Linked DNA regions of Tamandua tetradactyla. The protein of the gene in region 2 purifies or fractionates together with the protein of the main gene of each other region. This does not show direct contact. Links are inferred from orthologs where the notes say so. Each region holds a gene or a part of one and is shown on either strand. Other genes may lie near its edges.

Region 1 (7,051 bases), about 31 Mb from region 2:
GCTTGTAACTCTGCACATGAGCAACATGTTAAAAAAAAAAAAAAAAGAAAAGAGAAAGATCTAAATAGGGCAGCGTGATGGTAGCCCGGTGGCAGAATTCTCGCCTGCCAAGCCAGAGACCTGGGTTCGGTTCCCGGTGCCTGCCCATGCAAAAAGAAAAATAATAATACTAAATTTTAAAAAAAGATTCAAATAAAGCCAAACTCCATATTTAAATTAGGCTTTCTCAGCTATTCTTTTATATTAACTTTATGAAAATTTATAGTCTAACTTGGCATCTCACTTTACATGTCATTAGAAACAGAAACAGGGACAGCATTAATAAGTTTTAGAACACAAAGTTCTCAATTTAAACTTAATACAAGAATCTGCAGTCTGAATTGCTGACCTAAACTGACATGCCTTGAAACAAAAAAACAAAAATCTTCTTTTGTTAGACAAATCACTCATCATATTTAGTATATTTTACTAAAAATATAGTAAATATTGATATTTTACCAATGAAAAAACTAAATACATCTAGTCAATCTTTGCGGCATTATGACCAAAAAGTCGTTGACCTATATGGATGGTCCCAGTATAATGACTATTTTTTCACGGGGTGGAAAGGGGAACTGCATTACAACATATGGGAGATACCATACTAGCCATGAAATCAATATTTATAACAGAATGCTTTTTTTTTCATTCTTCCACTCACATCGATATCTGTGTGCTCTATTCCATACCTGAAAGCATGCATCCTGTCAAATAATGAACACTTTATTAAATAACCAAAAGGATCCAAATTTTAGAGGATTTAATAGTGAAATATAATCCTTTAGAAAAAAAGTTCTGTCCTCAACAGCAGTTATTAAATACAACTGCAGCATTTCATCTGAAGTAAACAATGCTACTCTGTCCGGCGGGGGACGACACACAAAAAACACTTACAACTTCCCTTGCTTGAGTAAAACTATTTTTATGTGAAGTTATTTAATGACCAAAAGAAAAGCATAATGTAAGAATTATATATATATATATATATATATATATATATATATATATATATGCACTATATAATATGTAAAGAAAAATATACAGGAAAAGACTGGAAAGGAAATATACAAAAACATTAACAGTAACCCAACCTACACCGCAAGATTACAGAAGATAATTTTCGTTTTATTTTCCAGTACTTGCATACATGCAGGCCTTTTACAAATATAATGCATCACCTAATAGTCAGAAAGCTTTTTTGTTAAACTGAAAAAAGTAAACCGACATTCACTTGTCATACAAGCAAACAGCTATAAGTACTTACAAACCAAAAGAGGTTCTAAGATTTTTCCATAGGTCATATAATTGAGAATTCAAATACAGTTGCTAAATTACTTGGTAAGTAACCTGAAAAAAACCGCACAAGATAGAGTTAAAAGCTTTCACTTCTGCCTCTCTTATAAAGATTTTCGTAACAAAAACCTAACAAAAAAATTGTCCTTCCCTATAATAATTTTCTATGGACAAATTTCTATCCAAGAATATTTTAGGCTGTTTTACAAAAATGCCATCTCAAAGAAGTAGTTTAGTTTAGAGCAGTAATTTCAAAGTTTAGCTACCGAAACATAGTATAGTGCAAGAACTTTTGAAGCATTTTTGTAAAGGCACCAAAAGCAATGTCTATATGCAGATGAGCTTTATTTAACACGCGTCTTTCCATTACTTCTTAAGAATCTGATGTCTAGTCAAGGTTTTTTGCTTAGTCTGGACATGGAGTTACTTGAATATCCGGGAAACTGTCAAAATCGAGCTCAAATTTCATTATGTTCAAGGCATAGAATGTCAACTTCTGACTGGGCCTCCCTCTCCCTCTTCTTCCTCAGGCCCGAGTTTAACATCCTTATTCTACATTTCCGGGCTCATGAGTCACTGAGAAATGAGCTCTATGTTTTTCTTAGAATGCAACTCACATAGCCCCTCTACAGCACTCAGGATCTGGCCCCAGAATTCCTCTCTAATCGTAGGCAACAGACTGAATTATCCACTATTTCTACAGTATGTCTTTTTACTTTGTCCTCTCCCTTGGCTACCCTTCCACATACCGTCGCATCTGCACCACTTCACTCCTAAATCCCATCCGGCCTTCAAAACCCTGCTCGGCACCGCCTCGCCCAGGAAGCCTTGCAGATTCCTGCTAGGCGGAAGTGATCGATCGGTTCCGTCTTCCCTGCGTGCATTTCTAGCACTTTGTAGCTCTTGCACAGGACTTACACCTCCTTCCTGGTATCAGGGTTATTTGTGCACTCGTTTTATCTCCACACCAGAGCGCAAGCTCCTCAGGGAAGGGGACTGTGAGGTTGGGTTCACCTCTGAATCCCCCGGCGCCGACCGACTACCGCGCCTGCACAGTCGGCAGTCAGGCTGCTTCAACCAAACTCGGGAACGCTCCGACGGCACAATTCCTAACCAGAAACCAGTCAGGCATTTTTCTGAAATGATGTTTACAAAGGCGGTGTCTGCCTCCCGATAACAGGAAGTTTCCTAGGGGCCTGGCTGCGGACGGGAAGGGAGCGAGGTACCCGGAGCCCCGAGTGCGGTGGGAGTGACAGTTGGCCCGGCCCGCACTTTCCCAGCCTTCCCGACTCGGGTCGGGGCCGTCCCTACGCCGCTGGCCGCGCTGGGGAGCCGCGGAGAGGGATGGCAGGACAGCGCGGGGCTCCCAGGGCCCCGGGTCGCAGGCCCCAGGCATCCCGCTCCGGAGAAGGCAAGGGGGGACGGCTCCGTGAGGGACCCGGACCGGGGCGGAGAGGGCAGGCCGGGCCCCGCCGCTCCCGCCGACGCCGGAGAAAATGGAGGCAGACCCGGGGCCGGTCAGGCAGGGCAGGCGGAAGGGGCGTCCGCGCCTCGGGCAGGGCCGGGCCTGGGGTCACTCACGGGGCTGGGCTGGGCCGGGCCAGGCGGCTCCCTCTCCGCCTCCGCGTCGTCGCCGTCCCCGTCCTCGGCCGCCGCCGCCTTGGGCTGCTCGCTCGGTCCCCGCGGCGCGGCTCCGGCGCTCGGCCCCTCCGTTGTCTTCCGCCTGTTCCTGCTCCCGGAGACTGGCTCCGGCGGCGGCGACGGCGGCGGCGGCTGCGCGAGCGGACGGCGGCGCAGGGACTCCCGCGGCGACCGCCGCGCTACTGCACTCGCTCGGGCTGCGGCTGCGGACCCTGACGCCTCCCTAGTCTCCGCCTCGGCTCCCGAAGGCTCAGTCTCTCCAGGCCGCGCCGCTCCCCACTCCGGCCCGAGCCCGGCTTTGACGCGCACACTGCGCAGCCGCGGAGGGCGCGACGTCGGGCAGCGCTGCAACGCCCCCTTTGGTCTCGGGCGCCCCCGGGCGGCGGGGCGGACTCAGGGCGGCGGGGGACGCGTGCGCCGAGGCCGAGGCGCGAGGGGACGCAGAGAAAAGAAGCAGAGGAGGTGGCTTCTTTCATCAGCGGTTTAAATGCTGGTGTTCCCCACTGCTCACAGCAGCGCTTGTCTATGGAAGCACTCTTCCTGAAGGCATCTCACCCCCACTTTCAACTACCACTTCCTCAACTCTTAACTATTTCTGCTAAAAGCCAGGGGCCGACTTTGTTACAGACGGAACCCCTCATACTTCAAGGCATAGATCGTTTTCATTTTAGCATCCTCCGTAAAAGAGGGTAGAAAGTGATGTTATGTTCCAAATTATTAGGATTCAACAGTCTAGCTGTAAATCCCAGCTCCACCATTTAGTATTTTTTGTGTGCTGTTTTTTGTCCTGGTGTCTTAGTTCCCGATGAACGCGATAATGCATTGCAAAGAAGCTCTGACGTAAAAATAACAAACATGAATTTTGGTGTCTTTGTTTTGCTTTTGGTAGTATTTAATGCATAAGTGAAGAAATAACTCTTGAGCACCTGCTGCGGGCCACATGCTGTTCTACTAGGTGGTGGGGCAGTGAACAAAACGGGTAGTGTCTGAGACAAAACAGTAAGCACACAAACCAGTACATGGGTGTTATTGGAAGGTGTTAAGTACTGTTGAGTAAACCGACACAGGCTAAGGAGGAGAGAGAATGGGTAGTTTTGTTTTATTGATTGTGCTTCTACAGGGAGCATCTACCCAAAGGTAGCATATGGACAGTCAGGCGGAATAGCAAGGACCCAAGCTCTGAGGCCAGCTGTGCTTGAAGAGTTTGAGGTGCGGCATGAAGGCCAGCAAGGCAAGTGCCCTCAGTGAGCGGAGAAGGGAGTAGGTGGGTGAGTAGGAGCCATGGAGACCAAATAAGGGCTTTATTATTATTACTGTTTTACTCTGAATGAGATGGGAAGCTGTTTGGAGAAGTTTGAGCAGAAAAGGGATGTGGTCTGACATGTTAAAAGCATCACGTTGGCTGTGAAGACTAGACTAACGGGGCCAAAGGTTGAAGCAGGGAGACCAGTTAGAAGGCTGTTGAAATAATCTATTCAAGAAAGGAAGGGGATGGGTCCAGGTGGTAGGAATGGAGATGTAAAGAAGTGTTTAGGTTCTAGATTCAATTAGAAGGTGTTTTGCCAATTTCTAGGGTTTTTGTCTCAACCAGCTAGACTAATGCAATTTGGTGAAATGGGAAGATTTAAGCAAGAACAGATGTGAAGGGAGGCACTCAGGGATTCATTTGGGGGCATATTAATTTTGAACTGCCTCTGACACACCCAAGAGGAAACTGGATATGGAAGTCTGGGAAGAGGCCTGGAGACCTGGAGAGTCCTAAGAGTAGGTGAAATCTTGGAAGTAAGGCCAAGGATTGAGCCTGAAGCCCTCAATATTGAAAGGTCAAGTTGACAACAGGAATTAGCAGAGGATTGTAAGAAGGAACCAGAGTGGGAATATGGCTAGGAAAGCCTGATGTGTGGAAGAACAGGGATGCCTTTCAAGGAAGAGGGATGGATCCATACTGCCCAACAGGTAATGGGAGTTGGCCAGGTATTGGTAATTGGCCATTGATTTCAGCACCATTTAGGTAAAACTAGTGAGAGCTGTTTCAGTGGAGAGGTGGGTGGGAAAACCTGATTGGTATGGACTCTAGAAAGAATGAGACCTAGAAACCTCTCTAGAAAGAACAAGCCTCTTGAAAGAGAGACCATGAGTGTCAAAGCTTTGCTCTAAAGGGCAGTGGAGAAATCAGGTGGTAGCTGGGAGGGGAATAAGAGGTCAAAGTTGATTTTTTTGTTTGATTTTTTTTGCTTTTAGGATGGAATACATTATAGCATGCTTAAATGCTGATGAGAATGATTCAGTGGTGAGGGAAGACCTGTGTGTGTGGGGGGGCATTTTCTGGAGAGCTGTCCTTGAGTGTGTGAGAAGAACCCATGCAGCGCCCAAGTGGAGGGTCTGGCCTTGGAGGGCATGCAGCGTGTGGGCACAGAGCCAGGAGGCATGTAGACATGGTGCCAGGAATGTGTGGAAATTCCCTTCCATGGGCTTCTATTTTCTTCTTGAAACAGGAAGCAAGGTCATCAGCCCAGAGCATGGAGGGGGAGGAGGTGTTAGAAGTCTGAGGAGAGATGAGAAGGTGTAAAGAAGGGCCAGTCACAGGGTTATTATGCTTTTCACCAGCCACACTTTGCTGGGAAGGTTGGGGATGAGAAGGTGAACAGTTTGATTCAACCAGGGTCATTATTTTTTTATTGACAAATCTTCACACACATACAATCCGTACGTCAATGTGTACAATCAGTGGCTCACAATATCATCACATAGTTGTGTATTCATCATCATGATTGTTTTTAGAACATTTGCATCACTCCAGAAAAAGAAAGAGCTCTAAGAAGGAAAAAGCTCTAAGGTGAAGTTGATTATTCTTATTCTTGCCAGGATACCAAACACTCAATAAAGGCAGAAAAAAAAAGAAGAAGAAGAAGAAGAAGAAAAAGAACATTAGGATATATTCTTAAAGCAGTTTTATTATTCACACACCATACAATCCATCTAAGCTAGAATAATCTTGACCCCAAATATACCTAAATAAAGAAAAATCATGACGTATAAGAAAAGACATCAGCATATTAAAAGAGAAAACCACCCTAACCAAGCACAATGTATCTCAAGTATATTAGACAACTATTAGAAAAACCAGGTGACAAAAAGCTCTGAGGAGGGTGGGGAATTGGACTGGGATGGGGTGGGGGTGGGGAGCTGCTGGTTACTGGAGCTTTCTCCTGCCTCTCTACTAAAAGTGTACACCCTCAAATGGGAAATGGGTATACCACAAGTGATACCTAATTTTGAAAATTTATTCCATAAAGACATTACCCCACTGCTTTTCTCTAAAAAGAGGAAAGTCCTTTAAACTGCAGTCCCAAAGAGGATTTATGTAACTTGTATTCTGCAAAAACAAGTCATGATCCAATTTCCCACCACATAAAAGAGTGCACGGGGGTGAATAAATCCTATATACAGCGCCTTGATTCCTTTGCTCTATGGATCAGAGTAGGATTCCAGATTAATCCCTTAACATTGATAAATCCACCACAGCTGGGAATTGTGACAGCAAGACAGTACAAATTTCTGGAGCAGGGTTTTGTAACAAGTTCTGAAATCAAACAGAAGGAACCACATCATCTGACCACCTGGATTTACACTGGGACCTTCTTAACCTTTCTATGGGACTCTCTGGAAAGCCTTTCTATTAATAATATATTTATTTTTAGGCACAACTTCTTTCTAAAATATTCTTCCACCTCTTCATCTCACATGGAGTCCCTTGGATCTCCAGTGCCTGTGGAGCTCAGGGTGATCCTTTTCCTTGAGTTGGACTGTGGAAGGGGTCTATTGCTTTCATTTCCCTCACTCTCCTCCTTTGAAGCTGGAAAGTGTGGAAGCTCCACCCTGCCTTAATCAGACCTTCTGCAAAAGAACTTTGGAGCCTGACTCATAGCTTCCCTCCCTACCCCACCCCACACCTGACGTCTCCTGGGCAATGTAAGTGTCACTCATCCAATACATTAGCTCAGTGACCTTCACTTTCCTTCTGTTTCAGCAATCACTTGTTCAGTTCCACACAATGGACACCAGAACTACTCCCCCG
Region 2 (7,398 bases):
CTTCCCATAAGATATAAAATGTAAGTGGGTTCCTCAAGGATGGGAAAATTTGGATAGTGAGAATGGAGGTATCGGTTAGATAAAGGGGGAAAGACATTTAAGGTTAAAACTAATCAGCAGACAGAGTCAGTTTGGCAAGAGTGAACAGATAAATTTGAGTAGGAAGGATTACAGACAGGGTAATTGGAGATTTATACTTGATTAGTTCAGATTAAGAACTCTAAACTTTAACCTGCAGGGAACAAATTTCTAAATGGAAAGTGACATTCGAGAGAAACAAATCTGGAGACAGAACACAGGACAAATTTTAAGACTGGAAGGACAGAGACAGAAAAAGAACTAAGAAATTCTATCGCAGCATACCTGGATGATTGTAATATAGGTTAAACTAGGTAATAATAATGGAAACAGAAGGTTTTGTGGGGCAGTGAAGGTAGGGCTTGTTAACTGATAAACTAGATAATGGAAGATGAACTTTATCTTCTCCTAAGAGATATCTACAACATTTGGTATATACCTCAATCATTCAGGCTTGAAACCTCACAATTTCTTTTGCTTCTCATTCCCTGAGAATTTTCTTTCCCAGACATTTGGAGCTTTCCTCAATCTAGTCCCAACTGACTTCTCCAACTTCCTTCCCCAGCCACATAATACATTCTAGCCCCAGAAAGGGGCTTTCTGTAGACAGACAAGAAATTCACAATCCCATAATTTTTTTCATACTACTTCTTATACTTTCAATGTCCTCTCTCCCATCTACATATCCAAATTCTAGACATTCTTCACATCCCAGCTCAAATATAATCTTTACCATCAAGCCATCCCAGAAGCCCCAACTCAAAGCACTGCCCTCTCCATAATACCCTCCATTTTCCTCGAAAACACTTATTTTTTACTTCGGATTATGGTTGTTCCTCATCTCCTCTGATAAGCTGTACACCCCTTAAGGTAGATACAGCCTTTTTTTCTTGTATTCCCTCTCCTTCTTTCATTGGTAAAAATCCTAATAAATATTATATGGCAGCAGTACAATAAAATGAGTAAGAACACAGACTGAAACCAGACTGCAGCCAGATTGCTTGAGTTTGAACCTTAATCCTATCATAAACTTGTAATGAGACCTTGGGGATATTTTATTGTAAAATGGAATAATAATGACAAGTATTACATAAGGTTGTCAGAGAGTTTGTAAAGATCTTAGAACAGTGTAAGCACCACAAAAGCGTCTATTATAAATACATAAAAGCACTATTTAGAGAAGAAAAACACTTAAATATTCCGTTATTTCACTAAAGCTTTATGATCTACGGGAAGCAAAATGCCAAAAACAAGGCCATTCTCTAGGTACAAACAACTATATACAAATTTTTCCTAAATCTTATTTATGCTCTAAGGGCAAGCTAATTAGTCTCCACACCTCCAGTTTTATCCCTTTTAACCGTTCCCCAAAAGGATAAGAGAGTAGTCTTTCTAAAATGCAAACATTTTTCTACTGCTAAACGCTCTCTCAATTCCAGTCCTTTTGGATAAAGTTTAAATCCCTTAACAGCCCATACAAAATCTTCCTAATCTGGCCCCACTCTAGTCTCTGACTTCATCTTTAAATATTTTTAATCTCCTCCCCATACCCCAAAGTTTTTTTGTATATCATTACCTTTGGCTGCAATACCCCTTCCCTCCTCTTCTCTGTCCAGACTATTTCCCATTTGTTTTCCCAGACTGCCCAAGCCTTGCCATCCAGGCTGATTTCAGTCCCCTTTCTCTGGGTTCCTATAACACTCTTGTACACTGCTCTCTGTACACAGATCTCTGCACACTGCTATCATATTGCTTAACACATGATCACATCTATCTTTCTCTCTTCAGACTGCATTACTTAGGAGCAGAAGCTATATCCCTAGCATCTAGCACCGTGTTTAGACCTTGAAGAAAACGTCTGCCTTTTTACTATTTTGTAACTTTCAGCAAGCCACTAAATGCTGAGTTTCCTACTCTGCTTAAGTTATTGTAAAAACAAATGATGTAATTATATAAAAGTGCACAGTGTAGGTTTGGTACACAGTTGGTGCTTAAAAAATGAACAAGTAAAAATTCTGATATTACCTAGGCTTGCAATCCAGCTCTGCAATTTACTCTCTGAGTGACTTTGGGCACAATAACTTATCCTTTCTTTCCCTCATTTGCTTACTTACCAAACACTTCACAGCACTATTATGATGATTTATTTAAATGGATCTCTACACACATTATTGAATAAATGTTTTTTATTGTTATCACAAGAATACTCCAGATCTAAATACCTATGATTGGGAACCATGAATAATTTCTGACTTTACTGAGTCATTTAAATTTGAGCATTACCTGAATGCCTCAGATTTCTTACTGATGAACAAGATAGTAACTAAAGAGCATCAAAAACTGGTACAGATGAAAAAGAAAAAAAAACTGGTACAGATGATGTAAACAAAGCTCAAAATAAACATGAAATAATATATTATCATTTGTTTCATTCTTTATATTTGTGCATCAAAAAAATGTTTCAAGAAACAAGTTTTCCTACCCTCTGTGATTTAGGTGTTCACCACTTTTAGTGAGGAAAAAAACTCCTTGGCTTATATTTTTAATTGTAGAACCACATATAAAATCTTAGAACTGGAAAAGACCTTTAAGATGAAAATCCAAACCTGTGATTTCTTAAATAAGTGAACTGAGATGGATTTGGAGTGGATTTTTACCTACTTAATGAGCAGCTCAGAGGAGGACAGAAATTGCAGCCAGAGGGAAAAACTTGTATATTTCAGGAAGTCCTACATGTACTGGAGCCAGTATTAGGAAATAACGCTGGAAAATATTTTTTAATCAATCTTTAACATCAGTACTTCTGACTAAGTACAGGTTATTTGACCTGCAGATTTGAAGCAAGACAGAATGAGGTTTGAACTTCACTTGCTATAAAAGCAAAGTCACGAGGTTGTTTTAGTTAATGAAGGGAGCTCAAGTAGTTCACAGTTGGGGTGCCTAGTAAATTTAAAGGATTCAAATATGGGTTCTTTTTGATCCCTTCCATTGTATGAATAAAAATAATATATGGGAGGGAAAAAAACAGTCTCTCATATAGTATGTGCTCGCTAAGTGTCTGAGACTTGTTGAACATTACTTAATTTTAAAAATAGAAGCCAGATAACTGCTCAAATGATAGGTCTTCATCCCTGCCCTTCCTCACCACCAAATGTCCTTCACAATTTTTCAAATGTCCTGTCACCACCAATGAGATGCTCTTTGGAAATCAACGTAGTTCAGAACTCCAACTAAAAAGCAAAAATTTGAAAGTCGAGAAAAAATACACCAAAATGGAGTAAAATCTGAAAGTGTCCCATTTCGTTTTGTTTCTAACAGTTCTAGAAATCCAGCTTAGTGAATTTCCAGTGAAAAGTTACATTTTCCTGCGTGTAGAAACAGCAAGTCTAAATAAAAGGTGAAAAGGCAAGTAATTGAGGCCACCTCTATTATTATGACCTCAAAATATTTTAAGTATTTGGGAGATAATCTTCATACAAAAAAAAAGAACATCTGCCAAAATCCATTATTTACGCTTGAAACTAAAGCCAACTGTTCCCGTTCTTAAAAGATACATGGTGCCTGAGACAAAACCAATCGCTCGAAAAGTCAACTCAACGCAGGAAGAGCTCTTTTAAATACCCTCTCCCTCTCGCTCTTATTACAGATGGCGAACCCGGCTTAAGGTTTAACTTCCAGGCACCGAAGCCACTCATCGCTCAAAGCCCGGGCTCCAGATGGATACTGTCCGGCGAACGATGAGCGGCTGCCAATCCTTAGAGGTGCAGCTGGAGTGAACTCGGAGACCAGAGCCCATCGCCCATCACTTTCCACCCACACTTGGGAAATGACCCACTTCCCCCCACAGGGCGGGGACCCGGCAGGGACTCAGCCCTCCCCACCCAGCCTCCGGCCCTACCCATATTCCGCGCGAGACCTCTGAGGACCCGAGGCTCCTCCGCCCTCGGGCAAGATGACAAGGGCAAGTTTGAGTCATGCGTTGGAAGGTTACTCACGGGAATGGCCTGGCGTCCTCTGCCCACCGCCTGTGCTCGGTCAGAGAAGTCCCTAAAGCGTCCGCAGAGTAAGAGCAGTTGCTGGGGTTACTGCCATGCCGCTAACCACCCGGCGTAGCAGGAACCTGCAGGCGACTTCACAACATCTTCATTCACCGACCTCGGTTCTGCAGCAACACCCAGTCAATGGCAGCCCCCACACAACTGGCGAAGCGCGAAAGAAACCCACTGTCCCAGCAGCCTCCACGGCGCCCGCACACGACCTGCTGGGAATTGTAGTTTCCTGTGCGGCCTGCCCCCTCACCATCCAGACTAGCTTCGGGCCCGCCACGCCCCCAAGACCCGGGCACCGCCCCTTCGCTACCCGATCCTGGGGCGGAGGCGGGGCCACGACCCGGGGCGGCTGGGGTGAGGCAGGTCCCCGCGGGTTGCCTGAAGCTAGGGCAGAGTTCCAGGCGGACGGCCCTTGTCCCGGTCGCGCCGCCCTTCAGTGCCCCGCGGCCCATGTAGGGAGCGGGCCTAACGCCTTGCTTCGCCCCTCCGCTGGTCCGGCTCCCGGGCCCGCCGACCGCCTGAGAAGAGTCGCTGGCCATGGTCGCCGCCAGGGTAATGAAGGGAGGAAGGGGAGAGGTGGTTCTGGGAGCCCGTCGGGTTAATCCGCGCAAGGCCCCGGGGAAGTTCGAGGCCAGCATTTGCTGATCCCGCGAGTCCGGCTCCGCGTGGCGGGCTCCCCGCGGTGAGCTGCCAAAGAGCCCCCCGCAGCTCGGACTCGGCGGAGAGTCCTGGGCCTCCCGCCCCTAACCCCCACTTGGTGGCGGAGGCACCTGCGTGCCCGGTGGGCGGTACCTGGTGGGCGGTGCCTGCCGGGTTGGCCGGGTCCGGTGTGCGGGGTGAAGCCGCGGGTAGTGCTTTCTTCACCCAACTCTAGCCTTTGGCCGCGCTCCAAAGCCCAAGACACCCTCTGGCTCGGGCTTTATATCTCAGGCCACCTTTTGCGAGTTCGCTACAAATCGCCCCAAAAGCTGGTCTAGGAGGGAACCTTTTACAAAATTAAATGCCCAAGCATCGTTTTTGTCTTCGGTATTTAAGTTCAGCGTTGTATTTCCCCTCGGGAGCTTGTTGTGTTAAATACTTTTTCCTCAAAACTTGATCTTGTTTTGTGACACGGCGCCTGCCTAACTAATTGCTTGACACACAGTAGGTGCTCAATAAATATTTGTGGAAAGAATGAGTCACGATACCAAATTTGGAAAATTCTGTCTAGCTGTGTATTGCTGTAATTTTTAAGATCTTATGGGTTCCCAAGATCACTTTGAAAATTATAGTAATTTTGAAGTTCAACAAAGAGACAAGTTCTTTTGCGTTCCCTGTAACAGTGGTCTCTGTTGAATTTTTTTTTTTAATGTGGTAAGTTATTGTTGCTTTTATTTATCTATAAGATAAATACTTACTACATAAAGCAGTCCTTGCCTGAAATTATAAATACCCTGTACGGGGTTAAAGAATGAATTTTTCTCTTGAATATATGTACGATTTAGCTTTGTATAAAACATGTTTTTCTCATTATTATACGGCGTTTATAAAGATGTCTTAAGATTTCAAGTCTAAGAAATCTGTGGTAAGAGCTTTTAGAACTACATTAGTTGAGGTACACTTTTAAATATTGCTATACACATATTCTATAGCCTGAATCTATTTAACTTGAACATTAGATTTTTCTCTATTGTTTTTGTTTTTCTACTATAATATGTCCTGACTGTGCAGCAGAGGTTCCTGACTGAGGGCAACTTTGACCCCCAGGAGACACATGGCAACGTCTGGCATCATTTTGGTTGTCACAACTGGGTGAGAAGGGAGATACTGGCCTCTAATGGGTAGTGGCGGGGGATGCTGCTAAATGTTTTACAGTGCACAAGGCAGTCCCCAAAACAGTTATCTGGCCCCAAATGTCACCAATGCCAAGGTTAAGCCCGTGTTATAGAGTATGACACAGTTTCCATTTTACAAATAGCCCCTCAGTCCACTGTAATTCTGAAAACATTCTTTGCTAACTACCAAGAGCATTAAAAGATTTAACCTAATCAATATAAATACCTGCTCATTACCAAAAGCAATGATTAACTTTAAATTTCAAATGATGTTCCAGAATAATTAAACCACAAAATCAACTAACAATGATAGAGATTACATATATCCTAATATATATGTTTGGATATATATTAATATGGTATTATATTAATATAGCATAATATATACAGTATGTATACTAATATATATTTTCTTAAATCTGCTCTACTAGTTTAATCTGTTAATAATGAAAAGTTACTTAGCAGTGTTTTGAGGTAACCATGCAAATAGCTTTTTCACGTTTTCCTGACATGATTTCAAGAAAGCAATCAATGATATATTAAACACTTGAGGGGGTGCAAGGTAATTCAGTGGTAGAATTTTCGCCTGCCATGTGGGAGACCTGGGTTCGATTTCTGGTTCATGCACTCCCCCCCCAAAACAAACAAAAAATTCAACAAATGGTGCTGCACTGATGGGATACTAACATGGAAAGAGAATGAAATGTGACCCCCCCCACCATACAGTATACAAAAAAAAGAGGAACTATGTAAACCTCTGGCAAATAGCAAAGTGCTGTACAAGTGTTCTGAATATATGTATCACAACAATATTAAAAATGAAGGGCTCCACTTATTCAAATTTATCATGAGCATGATTTTCAATAAGTTAAATTTATTTGTATTCAACTTTACAGAAATGTCTCATGAATGGTTTATTTTACAAAGAACAGTGCATATGAATGGGGTATTTGACATAAAATTAAGAAGTCAGTTGTCTTTTTCACCTGATTTCTAGTTGTTAAAGTATCCATGTATGAAATGAGAGTTTTCTGAAAAGAGAACCAAATTTTTAAAAAATCATTCTGAATTTGCTATATAGAAATTCTCAGTAATTTACTATTCATCCCCACTTTCACATTTTATATATTTTCTCATGTTCAACAAACTGAATCAAATGATTTAAATGATCGTTTCTGTAGTAATATTTTTATTATTACAGGAATAACAATTATAATTATTATTTCTGTAATAATTTTAAACCATGGAGTTATCTTACTTTCACCACTGGCTGCTTTTATCAGAAATTCTTCTAGTACTTCCTTTGACTCAACAATTGCTTTTAATCTCTTTAGGATCTGGATCCAAAGTTACATTCTTTCTCACAAACAAAATGTAATCAATTTCATGTTCAGCTATCGTTAGATTGAACCTTGTAGTGAATTCATGTTGCACAATTTCTTCTGGAGGAACCTCTT

Evidence for each region.
Region 1: the proteins of STRADB (region 2) and CAB39 purify together in Homo sapiens (affinity purification with mass spectrometry; 3 studies listed by BioGRID and IntAct, counting the BioPlex papers as one, with this or other methods). This does not show direct contact. The link is inferred for Tamandua tetradactyla from reciprocal best matches to the Homo sapiens genes STRADB and CAB39.

The regions. Positions count from the first base shown.
Region 1 is NC_135329.1:206,623,591-206,630,641, reverse strand, and holds the start of CAB39 (calcium-binding protein 39), read right to left. Parts: upstream 3,024-7,051; 5' UTR 2,914-3,023; intron 2,591-2,913; exon of another isoform or gene 2,082-2,590; intron 1-2,081. UniProt on the Homo sapiens protein: Component of a complex that binds and activates STK11/LKB1. In the complex, required to stabilize the interaction between CAB39/MO25 (CAB39/MO25alpha or CAB39L/MO25beta) and STK11/LKB1.
Region 2 is NC_135329.1:175,947,737-175,955,134, forward strand, and holds the start of STRADB (STE20-related kinase adapter protein beta), read left to right. Parts: upstream 1-4,396; 5' UTR 4,397-4,679; intron 4,680-5,837; 5' UTR 5,838-5,918; intron 5,919-7,398. UniProt on the Homo sapiens protein: Pseudokinase which, in complex with CAB39/MO25 (CAB39/MO25alpha or CAB39L/MO25beta), binds to and activates STK11/LKB1.